Linked DNA regions of Nothobranchius furzeri. The protein of the gene in region 1 binds, or shares a complex with, the protein of each later gene. Links are inferred from orthologs where the notes say so. Each region holds a gene or a part of one and is shown on either strand. Other genes may lie near its edges.

Region 1 (3,261 bases):
CAGCGCACCAGGCTAAAGACCAAAGGTGACAATGATTTGCTGCTGTAGACCCCAGACTCTGAAACTCTCTCCCCCTGAGCCTGAGATCAGTGGACTCAGTGGTCTCCTTCAAAAAGAAGCTGAAAACTCACCTGTTCAGGCTGGCTTTGGTGTTACCTTCATCACTCCCTCTCCTTATTCTGCTCTACCAACTCCACCTCTCCCAGGATCCACTGATTTTCTTCTTTCTTATTCATTTTCTCTTTCCCTTTCCTTATCCTTTCCTTTAATCACATATTTTTTCTCATTTTAACCATATCTTCTAATCATTTTATCTATTAATATTTAAAATGTATTTTTCTTGTGAAGCAACTTGTGATTTTTATCATGAGGCGCTATATAAAAGATCATTTTCTTTCTTTCTAATAATTACTATTAATGATCTGTTATTCAGAGTTAACAGAACTAACAGAGACTACATGTCTATCGAACAAGAGTCAGGAGAAAAATCAAAGAGAAGATTTCCATTCACACATTTATAGGTCTGGTTACAAAAGGATAAAGAAATGCAATGAAATATTATAAAATAAAGAAAGAGTTCAGAGATTCTCAGTCCAAACGGGCTCCACTTCATAATTCATTACTCTCCGGTGAGCACCGATGCTTCTTGAAGATGCTGCCTCACCACCTCATCCAGCACCTTGCTCACACCTTTACAAGCTGTCGTTGCAGCTTCAATCAGTGCTTCCAGGTGATCCTGATGCAGCCTGGCGTCCATCTGAACCAGAGCAATCTGTCCTCCCCTGGGAAGCAGCGCCAACGCCAGAGAGCTGACTCCTCCGCTCTCCTCGGCGTAGCAAAGGTCAGCGAGGGGAGTCTCATCCACAAAGCCCACGGTGCAGGCGCACACGTAGTCTCGCATCGGGATGCCAGCATCAATCACAGCCAAGGTGGCTGCATTAACACACACACTGTAGTTCCCACCATCTGACTGCAGAATCTGAAAAATACAAAACATCTTCGTGAAAAAAAGGAACTGCTGTCTTTATTAACATGAAAAGAGAAACTTAAAGAATCTAAGATGCACCTTGACATAAATGTCTATTTGAGAGCGCGGGAAGAGCTGGGTCATCACAGCAGCTTCAAACGTTTGCTTCAGGTGGAGACTCATCTCGGTGGATTTACGGTCTCCGTGCGGCCTCCTCTTCCTTTCTGCGGTGCTGAATGTGGCCATGCTGTACTGGCAGTTAATGACGGCTCGATCGTGGAGAGTACGACTTCTTGAACCTCGCATCTAGAGGGAAGAATGAGATGAAGAAATACAAAAATAATCACGACTGGACTTGTTTGATTTTAACATAATTCCTAAAAATATGCTAATAGAACTAAAGTAAAATTAAAAAAAATATCTGGATGTTGAAATGTCCATTTTTTTTCAAGACCAGGAGTCCCTAGGTTTCTGGAAATATGTGCAACATTAGATTTAAGTTTCTATTATTATTATTATTTCTCAACTGTAAGGTTACATCGACAAATACATTTCTGGTGGGTTACCACATTTGAACTTTGATTTCATATTTATAACTAGTGATTTGCATTCATTATTCTTTCATTCGCTCCAGTGTATTTCTAATTTAACCTCCATGCTGTAGCATTCTGCTCTATCACGTCTGATGCACAGTAAACATTGTAAAATATTATTATGATCTCACTTTATTATACAAACACTAATAGGCGCGAAGATGTTGTTAAATCTAATACTAGGAAACATATAGTACCGCCTTTATATGGTTATGTGTTATGAAGTCCTCCAAACATTCGTGACGTTACATACCTCGTGCGGACCGTAAACCACAGCCAGAACTTTGGTGTTTCCCTGTTCCAGGTAAGCGGAACCGTCGGCCTGAGCGAACACACCCAGGCGAGCCTGAACTTTCCGCAGTTCGGTGGCTTTCCTTCCATCCAGGCGGTATCCCTGGTCCGACAGCAGCTCGATGCCCGCCATGTTTCTGCAAACACCCGCCTCACGTGTTCAACGCTGCACTACATTACCCAACAGCCTCTACCAGGGACAACGGCAAGCTCAAAGCGGGGGGAAAAAAAGCGCACGAACGTTTCCGTTCCATCCGTCCATCCTTTTTCTGACATCTGGATGGATGGATGATCTCATTTAAGTATAATAATATAAATAAATATCTATGAAAATATAAAGTCAAAATTCAAAACACAACCACTTTCTACATTTTATTTTTTATATTTAGAAAACAAATTCTAAAAAAGGGTTTCAATGATCCAAAACCAGCAGATTTTGAATTCCTGCAGCTGGTTTCCTGGTTTGCACATTTTCTATTACCCTGCCCATATTTCATTATTAGGTTTCCATTCATGCTCTCACTCCTTGTGAACGTTCTGCTTCGGTCTTTTACACAATATCTTTTAAAGGCGGTAAAACCAATTCAGTTTATAAATAAAGGGAACACATGAACACATCCTAGATCAGAATGAATGAAATATTCTTAATACTTTGTTCTTTACATAGCTGAGTGTGCTGACAACAAAACCATATAAGAATTATCAATAGAAATCAAATTTATCAACCCATGGATATCTGGATTTAGAGCATCGACAGAATTAAAATGTATAAACACACTACAGGTTTGGGCTGGGCAATAAATCGAAAATTTATCGTCATCGAAATTTCAGACTCTTATCGAGATAATTTTTCCCATGTCAACAAATTTAATAATAAAATAATGAAAAGATGTGTGTAGGTTGGCAACATTCCTGTCCCTTTAAGATGCCGTACCACCTGGAGTCAGGTAAAAATGTGACTAAACGTGATACACGTGACAGCCCCATCTAGTGGACCACTCTTGTTTCTGCGCATACCTGTAGTTATCATCCATTTATCGTTATCGAGGTGAAATCCTCAATACATCATGATATTGATTTTAGGCCATATCGCCCAGCCCTATAGGCTGATCCAACTTTGATGTAATGGTCTCACAAGGGGTTTGATGATCTCATCTTGGTACCTAATGGCAGTCAGGCAGCCTCTGGCGAGCACATGGAGGGCTGAGCTGCCCACATCCTGTTGCTGAACCTAGACCTGACCAACTGCAGCAACCCCAGATTATGGTACTGCCCCCACAGATTTGTACAATAGGAACTAAGTGTGATGGGTGCATCACTTCATCTGCCTCTCTTCTTACACTGACGCACCCATCCCTCTGGAACAGGGTCCATCTTGACTCATCAGACCAGTTCTAAACCCAGTTTCTG
Region 2 (4,095 bases), on another chromosome or scaffold:
TTTATGATTTGGTTCTCAGATGTTTTCTGAAAACCAAACCTTTGTCCACTGTGGGGGAACTGGTTTCTACAGCAGGAAGCCCGAAGCTCTAAGAGCCTTGGTGATATTTTTTTTCAGATGATCAAGAAGAAGACGGGTCTTGTAGGTAACGAGCTTCCACGGTTACATATTTCTACTTTCGGAAGACTTTTCTCTGCCGAGGCCCTGTGGAGTGAGAGGACATTTTAAAGAGAATTTCGCATGAGGCTGCCCTTTAAGCACAGATTAGCAACACCAAGCCGTCCACGTGTCCACGACGTGAAAATGCAAATCTGATCTTGGGGAGTATTCCGGCGCAGGGCTCACGCGAGGACTCAGAGTCATCATGCAAGACGGCGTGCGTTTGTACAGCAGATTTTCAAAAGGTGTTACCTTTTAACAAGGAGCCATGAGCATATTCTTACATGAATTAAGACATCAGCTAAGTGTGCGTGAGACATTTCTGGACACTGAAAAGATAATTTTTTTAAGTCTTTGTCAGCAGTTTTATTGTTATTAAAAAAGAATATATATTGACAGTGGAAAATACAACTTTTAGATAAAAAATGTTGTCTGAGTGTATTTATTGAGCTGTCTTCATGCTTTTTATGACTTTCTCAATAAGTTTGTGGATCTCTCCCTTTCGTGCCGTTGCTCTTTTGATGCACTCCTGCAGCTTCTCTCCCGACAGTGGCGTTCCACCTGGAGGCAAAGTTTGCAGAGCCTTTTATCCCCGTTTTCTCAAAATACTCAAAATAATCTGAAGCTTTATTTCATGGCAGAAGCACCACAAATCTAAAGATCACAGATGTGCCATCTCTGACCTGGTTTATGTAAGGAGCACAGCTGATCTTCCTCATCCATCACCACAGTGAGGCGTGCCGTCGACAGGCTCTCCTCCTCGGCGGTGGGGTCTACGATCAGTATGGAGCTGCACAGGAAAACCAAAAAGGCTTAAAGAAGAACAAAATGGCACTTGTACCTAAAATAAAAATTGAATTGAAATCAAACAAACGTACTCATCAAAGATGCAAAAGGAGACGCTGACTGGATGTCGGTGAATGTTAAGTTTGTGTTTCTTTTCAAAATTCACCTCCGGGGCGGACGTCTCTTTGTTGATGGTGACTTCTGGGAGTTGTGCTGCAGGGAAAGATTACTAAAAGATAGATTTATTTTATTTATTACATGCACCGTTTCAGTAAAGTCTCAACCCTACTTACTGGTTTTCAGGGCAGCCAGAAGGGCGACAACACAAGCATCTAGGATGTTCCCGTCATAGTCGAGACACATGATGTCACAGTAGAGGACCCAGCAGAGCTGCAACAAGATTTAGCAGAATTATGATTGAATATATTACAACAAATAAAGTCCACACATGAGTCTAAAATCACCTTTCCTCGGCCAATGCACAAGTCTTCTTTCTTGATCACCTCAGAGCTGCACGACACATGAAGGTTAAGTCAAAGCAGTGGCAGAAACACTACAGCTGGAAACTAAAGGTGTTTGAAGGCTTAACACACCTCTCAATGATATCAGCGATGAACTGGCTGGCAGCCTGGGCCTGTTCCCCTGGTGGGCCTGGTCGGAAGCGGGACGAACACAGGGGTGGCAGGTCTACATTGGGCACTTTTTTAAAACATATATAGACAGATGATGATGTCATAATAAAATACAGAATCAAACAGAAAATACGAGATAAAGAATTAAGCAATGAAAACCTGATGGAAACAAGGAGGCTGTAAAATGTGTTCAGAACTTACCTATGTAACCTTTACCAGGTGCATCCACAGTAGGGTTAGTCAGCTCCTGCATATGAACACATGACTTTAACACCTAAAGAAATCTTAGCAGTAGCGGTTTGAGTCATTGTGCACCAGTACCGCTTTGATGCCACAGATGATCGTGGTGTTTCCCAGCTTTACCAGAGCGGAGCCGTCTGCAGTGGAAATAGACCCTGAACAGAAAATAAGTAAAAACTGTTACAGCTGGCAGTGATCAGCCCTTTAGGCACTGGAAAATGTTGGAGTTGAAAAAATATGAGCCGACTCATTTTGTATTAGAAGTACATATTATTTTATTTACATCATATCTAAAATTATGTTTTATTACAGGGAGGAAACATTTAATTTATTTTCTTACCAATGTTTAAGGTTGTACTTCTAAATTCAGACAACTCCCGCCCATCAGGTCTACAATTTTCTTTCTGCAAATGAAGCATTTGCAATTACAATGACACTAATAACAATAATAATAACATTTATGGGTTTCTACTGGGTATAGTTTGTATGTATTTGACGAACCAAAAAGCTCCTGTGATACTCCAGAGGCTCCGCCGTCCTGAAAGTTTAAAGAAATTAAATAAGACAAATTAGTAACAAACACGTGCGATCCTGCAATAAACAGCAGACCGATAAATCTAACAAATAAAGTGTACTATCCCGTCACTAGCCCAACTGACGTCACAGAAATGTTGTTTCTGTATTTTTTGACAAGCAAACTAAATTTAGATATAACACTGAACATTAAATATATCGATGATATATATTTGATGAAAATCAAAGTCTGAATATAAAGAAAAATACATGTTAAAAATGACTTACTTGAAACCAGCCGCCATGATGTTTTGATTACCCACGTGAACTACGGTGGCCGCGACGAAACTGTGATTACCAACGACAAGTGTGCATTACCGCCACCAACTGGACTGGAGTTCGGAAATGAACGAAAAACTGGCCAACAAATTCGTCTTTTTCAAAAATGAGTTGGTGTTGTAAGGTCAATAAAACTTTCAAATTGATAACCGGTCACAATTAATAAAGATTAAATAAAACTCGATATATTAATTTGCTAAACAAACAATATTGTAGTGTTTAAACAATTGACAGTGAATAAATATTCCTTACAAACTCCTCTTTCCTAACCGAACAATCCAGAGCAAAATTGTGGATTCTCTTATGTCTTCAAACTGAACTTTTTAGTTAGAATGGTTTGGATCATTCTTTTAAAATACAAAATTAAACTGTTAAACAAGTCATGTGTTTTGATGTTGGTGTGTGTGTGTGTGTGTGTGCGTGCGTGCGTGCGTGCGTGTGTGTGTGTGTGTGTGTGTGTGTGTGTGTGTGTGTGTGTGTGTGTGTGTGTGTGTGTGTGTGTGTGTGTGTGTGTGTGTGTGAGCAGTGCATGCATGGCAACTCGGTTTTCTGATTATTTTCTGCTTTACTGTTTTCTTTACTCAACCTCAAACGAGCAGTTAGATATCTGAAGATTGTCTTGGTCTGTTGATGTTTTGTTGCATTAACCCTCTGATGCATGAATTATGAAATCTTCAACCATGATTTTTTAAACTATTTTTTTCATTCATCTTTAGGTGTGAATGAAACAAATTTCAACAAATATTTTTTGTACCATTTTGTTAATTTACAAATACTTTATTACATGTCCATCTCAGTGGACAATGTGCATTCTGAACATGAAATATGGTGGCTTGACTTACTGAAGTCCAAATGGAAGGGCTCATATGCAATAAAGTCTTCAACAGCTGTGCTTAATAGCAAAAATAAATAAATAACAATTTTGAGTAACTGTCCACTGTAGTGACCGTTATGCACCAAAGGGTTAAGCAGCAAAATAAGCTCAGTTTTTGTGCTGGAGCAGGGAAACAAGTAAAACATGATGGATATGGAATATCGAGGCCCAGGGTTAGAGAGGTGGTGTAAAAAATAGGCGTCATTGCTTTTTAACTTCACTAGCTGGTGGGCCGGTCTCGGCTCAAAACGAACTGGCTGATTTTTTGTCCCAGTCCAGCCCTGTTGGGGACCCATGGTCGGAAATAGATGGGTGTGACTTAGCTTCCCATTGAGCGTGAGACACGTGTCTGACCCCTTTCACACACCTCCTCGTGCATGGAAACCATCACAAGTTGGCAGCCCTGTAGAAAATAACTTAGTTCTCTTGCATTACTCACCTTCTGTTATTCTATCAAAGCTGTTATAACAAATCTGTTAGTAAGCTGGGTTTTGAGAAAAAAAAACACTGTCACAATACACACTCCTCCCCTGCAGGAACTGGCAACTCGTG
Region 3 (4,227 bases), on another chromosome or scaffold:
TTTAAGACTTGTTGGATTTGATCTGTCAGGTTCCCTCCAGGCACCAAATTCACCTGCCTGAGACTGCAGCTACATCATTCCATCATCTCAGCTTTGAATTCCACTGGAATGATCCTTAGAACTAAAATCCACTGTTGGATGTTTAAACACAAGTTCTAAAGATCAAACACATGTCTCCACAGTGATGGCTCCTACCTGTCATGAAACTTTTAACCAATAAGTCACCCTGTTCCAAACAGAAATAAAGCTTATTTCCACCAAAGTTATAAACAAGTTAATGAATAAAATGAGTAAAATATGATGAGGGGGAAGCCTACAGCCCCCCCTTCTGGAGCTTCCTGAACTGTTCCCGTCTCTGCGGTGCTGTCAGGGTGTCACAGCTCTGCAGGAGATTGGAGATGATCAGAGTCTGCTGGATGGTGGATGCTCGGACCCAAATCCGACCGTTCATTCCCACCACCAGCTCACAGGGGAACAGCTGTTCCAGGTCAGACCGGATGTCACTTTGGGGGGCCAGCAGCCTGTTAGGGAGGGAGAAACGAGAGCACGACCAGAGCTGTTACCATGTCAGAACTCAATGTTGGGTCTTTGTAACAGATTAACTTTGTCCTGTTGATAATCACTCACAGATACATGCAGGAGTTAAGAGGCTCTTGTTCTGATTTAGAACAGCTGCAAGACACTCACAGAAGCTGTTCTGTCAGAGGATTCTTTATTACCCAACACTGGACTTATGAGTCAGAATAGGCCACTCCCTCTGGCACATATGGTTCAATTAAAAATGGAACTAAAGACAAACTGACCCAGTTCTCAGACAATGACCTCTGCTTCAGTTTCAGACAAATTCTCTTTAAATAACCTGGGTCTTGTTCCAGAACCATCAGGACTAAATATGTGGTTCTGTGAGAACTTCACACCTTTGCAAGTAAATTGATGTCTGTAGATGAAACCCAACTGTAACAGAACCCGGCCTTTGACCCAGTCCTGATACTCATCCAGAAGCTCCTGCTGGTTCAGAGTTTGTCAGTCAGAGAATGAAAATGTTGGGTAATGTTACCTTCTAACGAGGCCCAGAGAGACTTTGAGGAGCAGACCACCTCCTCCGAAAACACCCATCCCGTTGGCCCGGCCCGATCCGTCGATACACACCAGCTCTGGTTCCATGTCTTTATTGGCTACAGTGAACTGAGCGAACACCAGGTCTCCAACCTGCACAGGGAACACACAGAGGGCAATACATAAGCTGATCTGGTCCAATAAGGACAGGGCACCAAAGTACTGATAGTCCAGAGGGACCCAAAAGGTCCTGAGCCATCAGACATGCAGCATTCAAACACACCATGTAGGCACAAATCAGTCAGGTGAGAAAATGAGTCTCAAAAGGATTTTTGCACTTGTAAACTGATCTGTGTGTAATGTAGTTTTGTCCGTGTGTACTAAGTGATTTGTGTGTGTGTGTTTATTTAATGATCTGTATGTGTAGGAACTGAAGTTACACACGAAAATGTAAACAAGTTACAAATCAAGAGTTATACATGCTTAGATCTATCTACACACACACACATCTAGATACACACACACATCAAGATACACACAGACACAGATTTTTTTGAGACTTTTTTTCTTCCCATAAGACACCCAGCATGACTAAACGATCAGGTGTACTTCCTGTTGGTCCCGACACGTTCCATACTGGGTCAGCGTAAAAACAATACATCAGAACTCTTCTTTCAATCCTCTACAGTGATCATATGTGTGTCTGTGTGTTGCATGCTTGTGATTTTGGGGTCACAAGGGACACAGAACTCCTAAAAACAGCTGACGGGTCCCCCAAATCTGGACTCTAAACATGACTCACTTGTTTCAAGTAGAAAAAAACTGTCCCCTGAGTCTCACCTGGACATTGGGTCTGTTCCTCTTTGTAGCTCCTTCAAAGGCCAGATAGGACAAAGATGCCTGCTCACTGCCTCCAACGTCCACCTTAAAGATGTCCCCAGACTTGGATGTCACAATACCAATGACCGTCTCTGCTTTGGCTGGGACATACTGAGGACAGAAGTTTCAGGTGGTGAGTGGATAGAACATGCTGCTTGTGCCAACGTGACCAGTTTACCTTTCCATAATCGTTACCGGATGAAACAGTATAAAACACCACTGCAACATAAACCTAACTTCACCCTAGTTTAGTTTTGTAGAAAGTTTCAAACTTTGACTTCCTTCAGACTTCCGGTACATTAACTTTTTAATTTTATATACGATCACAACAAAGTGTATAGAACAATAAAAATAACCATTAACAAGGAAACGAATATTCAACAGATTTGAATATGAAATAGATAATAAATGATAAACTTTAGGGTATAAAAAAGTTAACACATCGCAAATGTATGGATAGGGGGACAAATAACTAGAAACACATGTAATTTCCGCCGGGTTTTTCATCAGTGAGAACTCTGAACCTTGTCTATTAGCTCTCACGGTTCTGTTCTGACAGGTTCGGCCGCGAGTCCAGTCTGGACCGGTCGGTACCCACCCTCCACTGCTGTGAGTCCATCCAAAACGTGTGCGGTGGTTTGTGCCTCAACACGCCGCTCTTGCTCACCACCAGCCGGTTTCCGCTCTGCCGCAGCCCCGGTCCACACACCGGCCGCTCTGGCTTCACATTGTCTGTTAGAAAAATTGTGTCCTCAGACTCGAAGACAAATTCATCTCCAGGTAAAAGAACTTCACCGATTTTCTCCTTCAGACTTGAAAACATACCGCTAGCTAGAAGAAGTCTGGACCTCTTGGTTCTGTTCTGGTTCCGACTCAGAGCGCCCCCTGCTGCTCAGGAGGAGATAGACCTCCGGCTCAGCTCGCTCCCTGCTGCTCAAGAAGAGAACTAGACCAAACTCTTGCTTTGCAATAAAAAATATAAATAATATATTTATTTAGTCTGGCTAATTTCTGAATACTGAAGGAGATCCTTCTGGAGCTTTGCCGTGATTTGGGACCCTTTATGGAGCGGCAGACAAACCGCATGAATCTGATTCCAGTCCACACTGAATCTTTTAAAACTATAGAAGCGACTGACCCCAGAACCTCCTCAGCGTTTTTATCAGTAAGGGCATGTCTAAGTGGGCTATTGACACAAAATTTGCTCCAGATGTTGCTATAAACCCATATATGGAATTCACACAAAGAAATCAGGAAGTACAAGGTGAGTTATAATAAATAAAGTGAAATGACAGGGAACCGGTCACTCTGAATTTTTCATGCAGGCTGAACATGAAAACAGTCTTCTACACCTATCTCCTGCATTAGCTTCTGATAGAAAATAGACTGTGAAATGCTAGGATTTGAAAATCCTCACATATCTATGTCACAGTGTGAACTGGCCGAGCCTATCTTTGCTCGTGCATGCACAGGATGGCTTTTTTAACTTTTTTACAGTGAGGAGAGAGAACGGAGAGTGTCTTGGTGATAGTCACTTTGTAACATGGCTGAACATGTTCTGTTAGCCAGTCAGAAGAGAGGTGCGTGTCAGTGGCGTGTCCAGATCTTTTAAAATGGGGTGGCCTAGGTGATGCACTACTTTGTGCATGGGTGGCACCAATGGTTATGCTTTTTTACATTTTTTTTACCCCAAGCCTTTTGTGGACAATGAAAAGCCTATTTAAAGGGAATTCAGTGTGGTGGCACCTGGGGTGGCCAATCAGATTCCAAGGGTGGCATTTGCTACCCCAGGCTACTCCCTGGACACGCCCCTGGTGCGTGCATATTTTTAATAATATGAGTATTCCTGCTGTTTTCAGCCCACCTCAATGATTAAAAAGTTGGACATGTCTCCTTCACCCTCCATCCAGAAAGCAGCTAAGTGTTATCTTAGATGTTTCCATGTTGTTAACTAGGTACTTTTAGGATTTAAAAAGTCAAGAAGGGGGTCTGAATAGCTGTTAGAAATAGCAACAAAGTTGCTAAGTGGGCAACACTGTGGGGGTGAACACTTGATTTGCAACTCGGAGCAGTGCAAGAGGAAGGAGCAAATAATCGGCTTGTTTTGTTTTCATAATCGTTCAAAACTTAAGTCATAATTGGGAATAAAATTTGATTAAATGTGCAGCCCTAGTAGAGATTTAAGAACAGGGAGTGATGTGTCATGTTTTGAGGGATGTGTCTAACCCAAGACATGCAGAATCAACCATGAACACAGAATGATAGAAAAAATAAGATTTATTTTGGATAAAT
Region 4 (4,068 bases), on another chromosome or scaffold:
CAAAATGTTCATTTGGAAAACACCCAAACAACTAGATATAAAACAGACTAAAATGGCAGTTAATTTCCTTCAATTCGTTAATTTTTGATTGTAAATTGTATGAGGTTCCGAATGTGCAAAATGTGTCATAAAATTGATCGGTTTGTGCACCGTATTTCTTCAACGAACTTCATTGTTTGTGATTTATGCTATTTGAAACCTGGTTCGAGGAAAATAAAGCTTTTTCGTTGAATCCGAATAAAATCCCATTAACCGGCGATTTGGAGATCGGGGGGTTTCTGTGAAAGCATCACGTAGAAGCTCCTTTTCTTTTCGTCCCTTCAACTGTTTATATCATGCTTACACTCGAAGCGCAACACTTAATAGACTAAATGAAAGAAAATCCAAAATTGGTGTCATTTCTTTATGTGTTTAGCCAACAAACTGAACAAAATATTCATTTACAGCCACGTTTTGCCCCACTGTACTTACTTCTATCATTTAAACGAATATCAGTCTAGTTAAAATCGCATGTATGAATATACGGATAAAATAAACGACCAACACACACATTAGATTAGTCCACATCAGTTCACATGATTGGTTACAAACAAATTTAGATTTGGGTTCACATATCGCTCCTAAAGGGAAAGAAGTCCTATTTAAAATTTTGAATAACATTTACCCAACAAATAGACTCCTTGGGGATAGATTCAATATAGAAGCTGGTAATTGTGTATTTTGTGAAACAGAAGAGGAGGACTTAGACCATCAATTTTTTTTGTGCAACTTTATACAAATATTTTGGTTAGATTTTCATGCCTGGCTTTGTTCTAGTGGGATTCAAATTGCCCCATTTACCTTAAATATGACAATGTTTGGAGTGTTTTTGAAAAAAAGAAAGTTAATTATGGTGTTAATGTGTTATTAATTTTGTGCAAACAATTTATACATAAATGTCAATTTTTAAGACCAAACCAACACTAGCCTATTGGAAAAACGACTTAAAATTATTAATTAAATCGTTGAATTTAGTTAAAAAGAAAAAGGCAGATTTGTTTATTTCCTTTGTAGAAGATTTTGAGTTAGTAAGTTAATAATCTGTTAATTATGTGACCCCATCTTTAGATTTTCTTTTTTTCATATACGTGAAAATGTTTAATATGCATGTAATGATTATCGTTTGAATATATAATGTACGGTGCATTTTGTTTGTATGTTATCTTCTCTAAAAAAAAAAGAAAAAAAAAAGATTTGGGTTCATTTGCGACATACGGTAAAGCCGTATATTGTTTCGTCGCGCATGCGCGAATTGCGTAAATAGGTGGTTCCCGCATGTCAGTTGAGAATAATTTGATTTTCACCAGAAACAGCAAATAACAACAATCATGAAAGAAACGCCGCTTTCCAACTGCGAGCGAGACTTCTTACTGAGAGCAATCGAAGAGAAAAAGGTGCGTTTTAAAACGTTTATCATCAAAGTAGCTAAGAAAACAACCTCCACATCCAGAACGTTGAATGGAAAAACTGAAAAAAATCCGTGCTTCTATTCATGATTGTATCTTTAGAAGTGAGAATTCACACCAAAATTGTCACAGAAATGTTTAAGATAAAAACGTTGTAACCGAAATTAAGTCATTTAATTTTCCAAGTTCCAACTATTGTTTTTGAAGAAACTAGCTAAAGTTCTGTTTACTGTTTTTTGTTCGTGTCTTTTAGCGGCTCGATGGACGACAGACCTATGACTACAGAAAGTTGAAAATCACTTTTGGGACTGATTATGGATGCTGCTTTGTGGATCTGGGGCAAACCAGGTGATTCTGGGGTTTGGTAATGTGATGAAAGCTGCTGAATGATTCTAATACTGACTAACATGTTGTCTCTAAAATCAACACGAGGAACTGTTAGGGTCAAAAATCCTTGGGAGTGCAACCTTCATCAAAATAACAAGAACATCAGATTCCCTTTCATCCCTTGCAATGAGTGAAGAGATAAACATGTAAAAGAACAACGTTTATTAATGCTGAAAGTTTTGTAACTATTAGTTACAAATCAGTGAATGCATTCTGTCCTCACGGGCTTCCGTAAAAGGAAACATGGCATCCAATATTGTGTCACCCAGAGACTTAGACCCACTCCTATGCATTTTAAACCCAATTTTTATGGCTATACAGTGGGGCAAAAAAGTATTTAGTCAGCCACCGATTGTGCAAGTTCTCCCACTTAAAATGATGACAGAGGTCAGTAATTTACATCATAGGTACACTTCAACTGTGAGAGACAGAATGTGAAAAAAAATCCATGAATTCACATGGAAGGATTTTTAAAGAATTTATTTGTAAATCAGGGTGGAAAATAAGTATTTGGTCAATAACAAAAATTCAACTCAATACTTTGTAACATAACCTTTGTTGGCAATAACAGAGGTCAAACGATTACTATAGGTCTTTACCAGGTTTGCACACACAGTAGCTGGTATTTTGGCCCATTCCTCCATGCAGATCTTCTCGAGAGCAGTGATGTTTTGGGGCTGTCGCCGAGCAACACGGACTTTCCACTCCCTCCACAGATTTTCTATGGGGTTGAGGTCTGGAGACTGGCTAGGCCACTCCAGGACTTTCAAATGCTTCTTACGGAGCCACTCCTTTGTTGCCCGGGCGGTGTGTTTGTGATCATTGTCGTGTTGGAAGACCCAGCCACGTTTCATCTTCAAAGCTCTCACTGATGGAAGGAGGTTTTGGCTCAGAATCTCACGAAACATGGCCCCATTCATTCTGTCCTTAACACGGATCAGTCGTCCTGTCCCCTTAGCAGAAAAACAGCCCCAAGCATGATGTTCCCACCCCCATGCTTCACAGTAGGTATGGTGTTCTTGGGATGCAACTCAGTATTCTTCTTCCTCCAAACACGACGAGTTGAGTTTATACCAAAAAGTTCTACTTTGGTTTCATCTGACCACATGACATTCTCCCAATCCTCTGCTGTATCATCCATGTGCTCTCTGGCAAACTTCAGACAGGCCTGGACATGCACTGGCTTCAGCAGCGGAACACGTCTGGCACTGCAGGATTTGATTCCCTGACGTTGTAATGTGTTACTGATGGTGACCTTTGTTACTGTGGTCCCAGCCCTCTGCAGGTCATTCACCAGGTCCCCCCGTGTGGTTCTGGGATTCTTGCTCACCGTTCTCATGATCATTTTGACCCCACGGGATGAGATCTTGCGTGGAGCCCCAGATCGAGGGAGATTATCAGTGGTCTTGTATGTCTTCCATTTTCTGATAATTGCTCCCACAATTGATCTTTTCTCACCAAGCTGCTTGCCTATTGTAGATTCACTCTTCCCAGTCTGGTGCAGGTCTACAATTCTTTTCCTGGTGTCCTTCGAAAGCTCTTTGGTCTTGGCCATAGTGGAGTTTGGAGTCTGACTGTTTGAGGCTGTGGACAGGTGTCTTTTATACAGATAATGAGTTCAAACAGGTGCCATTAATACAGGTAATGAGTGGAGGACAGAAAAGCTTCTTAAAGAAGACGTTACAGGTCTGTGAGAGCCAGAGATTTTCCTTGTCTGAAGTGACCAAATACTTATTTTCCACCCTGATTTACAAATAAATTCTTTAAAAATCCTGCCATGTGAATTCATGGATTTTTTTTCCACATTCTGTCTCTCACAGTTGAAGTGCACCTATGATGTAAATTACTGACCTCTGTCATCATTTTAAGTGGGAGAACTTGCACAATCGGTGGCTGACTAAATACTTTTTTGCCCCACTGCATGTTATGAAACAACCACTATTTGTCAACAACTGGGCACTTTTTAATTCATTTACAACATTTCAATGGATATTTCCAGAGATTAATGGTAAAAACTACACATTGTCACTTTAATATAATCTAGAATCGACCCTTGTCTGTGACCTTTAGATGCTTTTAAGGGTTTGTCCCTCCAAGAGAAAAGAGTTAGCAGCATGGAAATGTCTCTGTCCGTCAGTCATCTCTCCTCCCGTTTCTCTTTGTTCCGTGCACCAGTACCACAACATGACACCACCTCTGCCGTGCACGACAGTTGCTTCAGAGTTCTTTAGTCTGA
Region 5 (4,074 bases), on another chromosome or scaffold:
GCGAGCCCACTCACGCAGAATGGACTTCAGTAAAAAGGGGGCGGGGCTTGGGTTTAACGCCCCACCCAATAAAAAGTTCTTCATTGATGTCAATGCAAGTCGATCAATTCGCTTTGATGACTGATCAGGAAGGTGGATGTTTGGATAAACCTTTTTTTTTTATATCAGCGTTGTAAATGAGTTCAGTCTCGTTAGTTTCACTTTAGAGGTGATCGAATGTTGGCTGAGTTGTACAAAATGTAGATGAAACCATCAGTGTCAAAACCGGATTATGTAAAACAATTCAAAGCAACGCCTCTGTTAGTGTGAATATTTTAGTTTTAATGGCTTTGATACATTTTGATGTTTTGAAAAATAAATCTACAAAACCAAAGTTTGCCATTTAATTCTAAATGTGACACATGAATTATGATGTTCAGTAAGTTACAAAATGTTTAATTTGAAGGATTGTAGAAAACAATTGAATAGTTAGGTGCACAAAGCAGGAACTGCAGACAAAGTAGAATCAGTCATTTTAATTTATTGTACTTTTGAAAGTTAAACAGCAAAGTACATTTTCGTAAAAGGCAAGGCTTATGTACGGTTGACTCAGTTATATACAGGAAGGTAACTTAACGTTTCATTATTTTCTACGCTGTAGCTGCATCAAACATTTGGTTTAGCGCTGGGCTTTCCAACAGTGAACAAATGTCTTCATCAGCTTTAAGCCCAAGACAGCAAAACACCAGCACGATTTGTGACGAACCATAAAGCGTAGAGCTCTTCCAGCTACCGTTACTGGCCCTTTCCAAAAATAAAAATCATGTTTAACTTCTGTGTTCTTGGGTCTGCTGGTAAAAAACTAACTGCTATTGTTTACCAGTCAGAAAAGCACAATGAAAGGATGACAAAATGTGCAGCTGTTTGAAACACTTAAACCAGAAGTGGCCCGTGAATCACATGATGCACAGAAAAACAAAAGCTGGAGCAGGAGCTGCTTGAAGGAAGATGGAAGTTGCGTGTACCAAGTGAAGACTGTCCAGGCTGTCACGCTTCCAAATACTCAGGCTGGACTCGAGCCACTTTACGAAACTCTTTGGCGTGAGTCAACGGACACTGCATCTCGCACCAGCTGATGGGAATCATCTGGGCTCCTGGTTCAGGGGAAAATGTGGTAAAAATGTTAGAAACATGCAGAAAAATGGGAAGTTATTTACAAGAAAAGAAAGTAGGGAAAATACGACGGAAAACACCTGTTTTCATGTCAGCAATATTAAAAGGCTCTTACACTTTTTCCAAATGCAAATTTGGTAAATGGCCTGTATTTGATATAGTGCCTTCTAGAGTCCTGGAACCCCCCAATGCGCTTTACAACACAATCAGTCATTCACCCATTCACACGCTGGTGGGGATGCGCTACGATGTAGCCACAGCTGCCCTGGGGCGCACTGACAGAGGCGAGGCTGCCGAGCACTGGCGCCACCGGTCCCTCTGACCACCACCAGCAGGCAAGGGGGGTTAGGTGTCTTGCCCAAGGACACAACGACAGACTGAGTGGGGCTCGAACCTGCGATTACGGGGCGAGCACTTAACCCTTTTGCCACCATGGCCCAATTTAGACCTGTTGAGAATTTTTGAGGCTTTCCAGCTATGTGTTCAAGCTGAAACCATTTCACACATGAAACCAGTACTTTACTTTTAGAAATCTATTTTATTTATTTAAAGGCAGCTTGAATGAATGAATGTTAATGCTACAAGTTCTGCTGAAGCTTTTAATGGCCTACACATCAAAACATGTATGTGAACAAAAAACAATGAACAATTACTTTAAAAGAATTGTTAGAAAAAAATCTAAACATTCAAGAGTAATTTTTTTATTTTATTTTATTTTTTTTTCGAAAAAATTACCATAAGATCACATATGTACATTTAGAAGTGCAGTGAAGAACTTTGCTACAAACCTGCCATATTTAGTCCTATACATGTCTACTGCCCCCTGGTGGCGGCTCTACAGATGGTGAGGGCCAAATTTTTTTTCTTTATTATTGTTATATTTTATTTAACTCTATTATTATATAACATAGGACACAAGATAAAGAAATATCTTTGAATAAAATAGTTCTTAAAAATAGATAATTATTAGTTGATGATTTACAAAATGAATTCAACTACATTTTTAAGAAGCTTAAAGTATTTTTGGCCAATTTTAAGCACTTTTCAAACCTTGAAAATACGATAAGAAATGTTTTCAAGCGCAAATAATTAGCTACTAAATCAGATAGATAATATCTTTGCATTTGGTCGGAAATTGAGAGTAATAATATTTAGCTATGATGAAAATAACACTAGAGAATTAATCAGTAATGCTGTCATTATGGAAGTTAATAATGTTACTTAAGTTCTAATCAGAAATCTTTTCCTCCCACTTTGGACCCCCTGCTGTTCCTGCAGAACCTGAGTGAGCTGGTCAGATCTGAGCAGCTGTTTAGTTTGGAAAGATGAAGTGAAAGAGGTGAGGAACGTACCTGCCTCGCTGTGGGCCACCACCACACCCAGTTCATTCTCAGCTGTTGTTAACAAGTAGTTAGACTGAATGTCACCGAGAGAAATCTGACATCAAAGGTCAAGATTAGTAATCAGTAACGTTCAGACTGAAGCACCGGAGTCAGTAGTAACATGTGAACATTGTTTGCTGTCATTTCTAAGATTCATTCATTCATTTTGTCCCATTCAGCTCAGCAAATTTTACAGGTCCCAATGAAACTGGGTTATGAGCTGAAAATAGCTTTTAAATTTGTTTGGTTTTCTTTCTTGGAGAGCTTGTTGAAGGATACCACTTTAGCCAAAACAATGTCGCCCGTTCTGAAGCTTTTGTATATCTCCACCTGTAAACAAAACAGAACCATCAGTAAGGAAACAGAAGGAGCAAAAATAAGTAAACAATCCAAGTAAAAGTACGAATTCTAGCTCACTTTATCCTTCTCTGTTGCTCGCACGTCTTCTTTCCTGTAGATACGGAGAGAGTGAGCTAAGAGTTTAGGAAAGTTAATCAAACTGGATTTACGTAGTGAGGTTACCTGATGGTCCCTCTGAAGCGGTCCTTCAGCGGTGTGGAACCCACATACAGGATGTGGACTTTGGCAAACCTGGGGTTGGTGCTGGTCACCTTTAAAAGACAAGTTAGTAAAAGGCAAACCTGAACACAAAGTACTGACATCTGTGAATGCACTGGCTGTCCCCGTCTTGAGTTTTAGTGCACGTTTCAGATATGATCATCTGAGTTTAACTGGTGTAAAAAATGATAAAGAGCTTAACTTAAATGTTTCTTTTGGTCATTTGTATGATGTTTATTATGTTGCACTTTGTTTGTTTTTAAGGTGATTTATGAATACATTTTATTTGAAAAGGCACTTTTTTTTCTTGATTTGTGTAAAAAAAAACACCCCCTAAATACATATAATACAAAAATAACTGTCCTTAAAGGGACTTTACAGAGGTTTGATGCTTTTTTTATGCTCGCGATCGCCCCCCTCAGGCCAAAAGCGTAACGGCAGCTTCAATAGTAGGCTCGTGCACGAGGCGTGCATGCTGTACGTGCACACTCCTTAACGAAAATAACAGCTGAGGCAGTCCCTTGTGTGTGTGTGTGTGTGTGTGTGTGGCCCGGAGGACAGAGGATAGGAGAACACGCAGCTAATTAATTAAATAATGTGGTTCTGTACCTTTCTCTTCAGCACAGCCGACAAAGGTTTATGATGGGTCAGTCCTCCTGCATGCTCAGATCATTCCCTTCCCTTGCTTGAAAAATTGTTCCAAAATGAAAGTTGAACCCACATCTTTTTTATCTGTGAATTCAATGCCGTTCGGCGAGTCTCAAATAAAAATTTGGGTATCTTACTGTAAAAAATATACCATTAATGTAAAAAAGAAACTAATTAAACTATGTTTACATCCAGAATCGAACCCGGGTCTTCTGCACGAGAGTCCAACATCTTAATAGGTGAGCTAAAGCGCCAGTGATGTCCTTTGTATCTGTAACGTTTATATCCTTGATGACAGCTGAAACAACGTTCAAAGAACGGTTCGGAGCGAAAA
Region 6 (4,273 bases), on another chromosome or scaffold:
CTTCCAGCATTCCTTCAACTAGTTCTTGCCCAGTTCCATTATCAGAAGTAGCGCATCTAGCGGGGGCTCATAGAGAGCGGTATGTTAACTAGCTTACCAACGTTAGCTTACGTTCTCTCTGCAGCTGTTCACCGATGTAAACATGTTGCTGACTTTGCCTAAATCCACCCCTCTGGATTTATAACTTTATGTTGTAAACAGCGTTTCACTTCACACCAAAGCAGATTTTTAAAAAGTCTGGATCTCTACCAGCTCCTGTTGCTGGTGGTGTTACCGGGTTCAGCTGCTGCTCTCACATCGGAATGAGATCTCTGAACGCTGAAGCTCATATAAATAAATAAATAACGTAATTTTAACACATGTAATCATACATCGGAGCTTTAATATTGTTAATAATTGTCTCGCTTTATACAACAGTGGACGGCGCGCGTCATCCGGGGTGAAATACCCATCCATCAGGATTATCAATAACTTGTATGAACACATCACCTTTATCCCTGTCCCTGTCTTCCTCGTGAAATAAATGAACATTAATCTTACCCGGTAAAAACATGTTCGCTGCAAATCTGAGGGCTACTTCGCTTAATTGATCACTGCAGTTTGTCTCCGTCCTCAGTCTCCCATCAAATTTATTAAAAAGAAAAAACGAGTTGAGTTTATGTCCTTGTCTCTTAGTGCAGCCGACCATGCAGCAGGCTAAAACCATTTTACTGTCAAATCAACTAAATAAAAGCGATAAAAGGCTACAAACTGGCTTGTTTTGACCAGCTTCACTGGGGATTCTACAGGTGTAAATGGTATTTTTGCCGTCCGTCATGGCGAAGGGGGCGGTCACATGAGTGGCGTGAGGTCACGTGCAAAGGGTCAATACCCAATACTTTAACAGTCTCAAGTTGCTTTTCTCTCTAAGGCTGCCCCGTTCCTCCAGGAGGAATTCTTAGAGCATTACATGTCTGGATGTGTTAAATAGATTATGTTTAATAAGTATTTCTTCACAAACAGAGGTGAGAAGTCAGGTCAGAGGGTCAAATTTTCATTCCTTAGGAAGCTTTTCCTTCTCTTGACATAAAAATACTTTGTGCCTTTAGGTAAATTCATGTAGTTTATCATTTATGATGTCTTAAAATACTAGATCATGTCTCACAAAACTGACCTTTAATAGACCCAGCAAGGTTTCTCAAACAAATCACTTATTATGTTGAACTGCTTTACTCACACTTTAACGCTCACACACATCTATCAAAATCAAGTCAATAAAGTTTATGAACAACTTCTCTTGACTGGTTCTGAATGTACCTCCAAACTGGTGTAGAAGCCCCCAGCTTCCTCATCCTGTTGTCCCAGCGTGGGATACAACCACACAAAGCCATTATTACCAAGGATTATAGATGCACCACATGGAAGATTGTGGAAATGTGTTTTCTGCCTCTTGATCAGAGAAGGAGAAATCTGGACCAGCACTCCTTGACCCAACTGACAGTCAAAAAGAATTGAAATAAGATTGAGATTAAAATTATTATTATTATTATTATTATTACTACAGATTATTTTCCCACAAAAGAAGCTTTTTATAATTAGGAACGTGTTAGTGTAAAAATTAGTGGGATTACTCAGTGTCACTGTGTGCTATAACTTACTTTTCCATATTTTAAACTACGAGTGTGAAGTGAGAGTGCTCCATCTGAAAAAACAGACTGCACTTCTGCCTAAAAAACAAACAAAAGTTCAAACCCAGTCAGGAATAAAAAAAAACTGGTAGTAAAAGTTGGTCATTTTGAATCAAATGTGTCTTACACTGATTAGATCGCCTTCCTGGATGTATTTTCTCATGGTGAGCTCGTCTTCTGCAGATCTTCGTCTCTAAAAGGCAAAATCAATCAGTTTAGCAAAAGTAAAAACAAAAATCTCAACCAAAACATATGAAGCTACGTTCTACTATCTCACCAGTTCTCCTCCAGGCAGATTGACAGATGACAATAAGAGGACCGAATCTAGTCTGGAGTTGGTATCCACCTTCCACCGCTTCTGTTGAACCTGAATTTGAAAACATCCCCATTCTGAAAACTCTTGATGAAAGTACTACATCTTTTTACTGTTTTTAGATCACAAAAACATTTGTTCACCTCCGTGATCCTGCCAACAACCACATCTCCAACCTCACCGTTAAATCTGTAATTCACATCAGAGTTATAGGACTGCATTTAGATAAAAGCAGGACACATAGCAAGTGAAAGCAGTGCAGAGGTAAATGATGTTTCATGGCTCTTAAATTAATGGCGTACCTGGTCTTTAGAGGTCTGACGCAGATTAGTTTGTCAACTCTTTGCACCTTTCCTGCAACTGAAGCCGTTAGTTTATCATCGTCGACATATGTTCCATGACCCCTGTGAGAAAACGAGGTAAAGTAATGGTTACCAGGCCTTTACTCCCAGGCTTCACAGTAGAACCAGTACCCACCTCATGAAACCTGTGTCTGAGGTGATAACATCGCCGGGAACTACCAAATCTTTCCGGTATACAGCGGGAGCCGACAAAGTCATTGTTTTTTTAACAGTCGGTAATCTCATGTCCACTGCCATGCTTGTTTCTTCTTACTTTTCCCGCTCGCGACAGAGTCCACAGGGCTTTACTTCTATGTGCACACTTAGAATAGTGAAGAAAATTTAAGAAAGGGTTTCCTCCCCAAAGTTAACAGTCGTTTAAAAACCAACTGGCTCAACAAGCTACAAAAATGGACAACAATATAACTATAACAGACCATGCATGTCTGTGATGCTAGGTAGCACACTCTCCTACTTCTGCTCTGTTACGTAGTTTGTGAGACCAGCTAACGCCCCCTACTGGTACGGAGTAAAAGCGACAGAAATTGATGTTTTGTTACTGCTCTCTTTCCGCCAAATAAAGATCAATGCAGTACTACTGACTCAGCCAGGTTCAGATTAACAAACAACTCAATAATAGCTAAATCATTCCACTTCTGTGATCATAAGATTCATCACAGTTTTACTGGTGGAATCTTATAAGCCCGCTTTAATTGTTAATTCAGGGCTTTTATTTCTTCTTTATCAATTTCACTTCCCTCAGTTTTTGTTTACTTTGCAGAATTTGTGATTTTATTAGGCAAGGTAAAAACATATTCCAGAAAAATATACAAAAACAGGATAATTAGGGTTGGACTTTTTAAATAAATTCAAATTTGTTTTCATGAAAGTTTGTACAAAAATATATAGCCTAGAAAACCATCAGATTGCACCCAGCCTTTACTTTGATTCATCCCCTGGAGCATGCATAGGTCAGACAACAGTGATGAGGAGGATTTCACACTTGGATGCAGACTCCTGGGGGTTGTTTCCTTTCTAGAGCTTTCTTAAGTTAGCTCAACAATACAGCCAAACATCAATTTTTTTCTTTTCATGTTTACAGATGTATGCCATTTAAATTAATACATTCTCAGCTCAATCCAGTATTTTTTCAACTGTAATTAATGTTTTGATGAGTTCTTAAAATATCTATAATCCCAATGCCATCCCTATAAGTTTATTGTGGACTCTTAAAAATACATATATATAGTATAATGCAAGATTATTTTTGCTTCAGCAATTGACGGTCTAGATTCTAGGCTAGGTCAGAATCTTTTTTATTGTTTTGCTCTCAAATTAATTTTTTCAAACACCCCAACCCAGACTTATCTCTGCAAATAGCTTTGTTTTATGGAACTCAAAAGTATTCAAAATTCAATAAATAAATAAGACATTATGAAATAAATGTCTACATGAAGAAATACTAGACAATCATGTAATCTGACAATGAAATGATGAAATAACAGAATGTTATGTAAAATCTAAGTTCAATATTATGAAATATTTTTCATTCTTCTTTTAAAATGGCAGGTCACACCCACTGGTTTGACTGACGGACTGAGACATTCTGCTGTAAAGTCTCATTATGAAATAAATCAGCCATGGGAAAAAACACTATTAAAAAGAAGTTATGTAATAAAAACTGAATGAATTAAATTAAAATGGCTCAATGATCATTTGGTTTATTATGAAAAAAATGACTTTAGAAATAAAACTTTATATTAATAAAGATATTTTAAAAGAAGAAGGATTTCCTATTTCCACCTTCAGAATATTGCTTAGATTAGAAGCATCCTTTCCAGGAGTGATGCTGAAAAACTAGTTCATGCATTTATTACATCAAGACTGGATTACTGTAATACATTACTCTCAGGAAGTCCACAGAATATAGTTAAAAATATTCTGCTTGTCCA

What was found.
Region 2: exosc4 (region 1) and exosc8 share a complex: the UniProt entries of both Homo sapiens proteins name them as parts of the RNA exosome core complex. The link is inferred for Nothobranchius furzeri from reciprocal best matches to the Homo sapiens genes EXOSC4 and EXOSC8.
Region 3: exosc4 (region 1) and exosc3 share a complex: the UniProt entries of both Homo sapiens proteins name them as parts of the RNA exosome core complex. The link is inferred for Nothobranchius furzeri from reciprocal best matches to the Homo sapiens genes EXOSC4 and EXOSC3.
Region 4: exosc4 (region 1) and exosc9 share a complex: the UniProt entries of both Homo sapiens proteins name them as parts of the RNA exosome core complex. The link is inferred for Nothobranchius furzeri from reciprocal best matches to the Homo sapiens genes EXOSC4 and EXOSC9.
Region 5: exosc4 (region 1) and exosc1 share a complex: the UniProt entries of both Homo sapiens proteins name them as parts of the RNA exosome core complex. The link is inferred for Nothobranchius furzeri from reciprocal best matches to the Homo sapiens genes EXOSC4 and EXOSC1.
Region 6: exosc4 (region 1) and exosc2 share a complex: the UniProt entries of both Homo sapiens proteins name them as parts of the RNA exosome core complex. The link is inferred for Nothobranchius furzeri from reciprocal best matches to the Homo sapiens genes EXOSC4 and EXOSC2.

Annotation. Positions count from the first base shown.
Region 1 is NC_091751.1:51,169,413-51,172,673, reverse strand, and holds exosc4 (exosome complex component RRP41), read right to left. Parts: upstream 2,041-3,261; 5' UTR 1,985-2,040; coding exon 1,814-1,984; intron 1,274-1,813; coding exon 1,067-1,273; intron 980-1,066; coding exon 620-979; 3' UTR 501-619; downstream 1-500. UniProt on the Homo sapiens protein: Non-catalytic component of the RNA exosome complex which has 3'->5' exoribonuclease activity and participates in a multitude of cellular RNA processing and degradation events.
Region 2 is NC_091750.1:62,637,160-62,641,254, reverse strand, and holds exosc8 (exosome complex component RRP43), read right to left. Parts: upstream 2,701-4,095; 5' UTR 2,636-2,700; coding exon 2,619-2,635; intron 2,356-2,618; coding exon 2,319-2,355; intron 2,222-2,318; coding exon 2,158-2,221; intron 1,973-2,157; coding exon 1,899-1,972; intron 1,825-1,898; coding exon 1,779-1,824; intron 1,645-1,778; coding exon 1,539-1,644; intron 1,456-1,538; coding exon 1,410-1,455; intron 1,336-1,409; coding exon 1,239-1,335; intron 1,159-1,238; coding exon 1,038-1,158; intron 950-1,037; coding exon 843-949; intron 721-842; coding exon 602-720; 3' UTR 501-601; downstream 1-500. UniProt on the Homo sapiens protein: Non-catalytic component of the RNA exosome complex which has 3'->5' exoribonuclease activity and participates in a multitude of cellular RNA processing and degradation events.
Region 3 is NC_091741.1:64,434,378-64,438,604, reverse strand, and holds the start of exosc3 (exosome complex component RRP40), read right to left. Parts: upstream 2,801-4,227; 5' UTR 2,759-2,800; coding exon 2,534-2,758; intron 2,047-2,533; coding exon 1,897-2,046; intron 1,210-1,896; coding exon 1,058-1,209; intron 522-1,057; coding exon 314-521; 3' UTR 1-313. UniProt on the Homo sapiens protein: Non-catalytic component of the RNA exosome complex which has 3'->5' exoribonuclease activity and participates in a multitude of cellular RNA processing and degradation events.
Region 4 is NC_091746.1:81,910,903-81,914,970, reverse strand, and holds the start of exosc9 (exosome complex component RRP45), read left to right. Parts: upstream 1-1,268; 5' UTR 1,269-1,367; coding exon 1,368-1,433; intron 1,434-1,698; coding exon 1,699-1,793; intron 1,794-4,068. UniProt on the Homo sapiens protein: Non-catalytic component of the RNA exosome complex which has 3'->5' exoribonuclease activity and participates in a multitude of cellular RNA processing and degradation events.
Region 5 is NC_091746.1:82,291,581-82,295,654, forward strand, and holds the end of exosc1 (exosome complex component CSL4), read right to left. Parts: intron 3,146-4,074; coding exon 3,057-3,145; intron 2,986-3,056; coding exon 2,952-2,985; intron 2,865-2,951; coding exon 2,814-2,864; intron 2,590-2,813; coding exon 2,505-2,589; intron 1,134-2,504; coding exon 1,027-1,133; 3' UTR 501-1,026; downstream 1-500. Other genes in the region: knop1 (lysine-rich nucleolar protein 1), read left to right, coding at 1-124. UniProt on the Homo sapiens protein: Non-catalytic component of the RNA exosome complex which has 3'->5' exoribonuclease activity and participates in a multitude of cellular RNA processing and degradation events.
Region 6 is NC_091746.1:53,646,459-53,650,731, reverse strand, and holds the start of exosc2 (exosome complex component RRP4), read right to left. Parts: upstream 2,801-4,273; 5' UTR 2,580-2,800; coding exon 2,458-2,579; intron 2,385-2,457; coding exon 2,283-2,384; intron 2,170-2,282; coding exon 2,124-2,169; intron 2,035-2,123; coding exon 1,945-2,034; intron 1,861-1,944; coding exon 1,795-1,860; intron 1,707-1,794; coding exon 1,638-1,706; intron 1,474-1,637; coding exon 1,297-1,473; intron 1-1,296. UniProt on the Homo sapiens protein: Non-catalytic component of the RNA exosome complex which has 3'->5' exoribonuclease activity and participates in a multitude of cellular RNA processing and degradation events.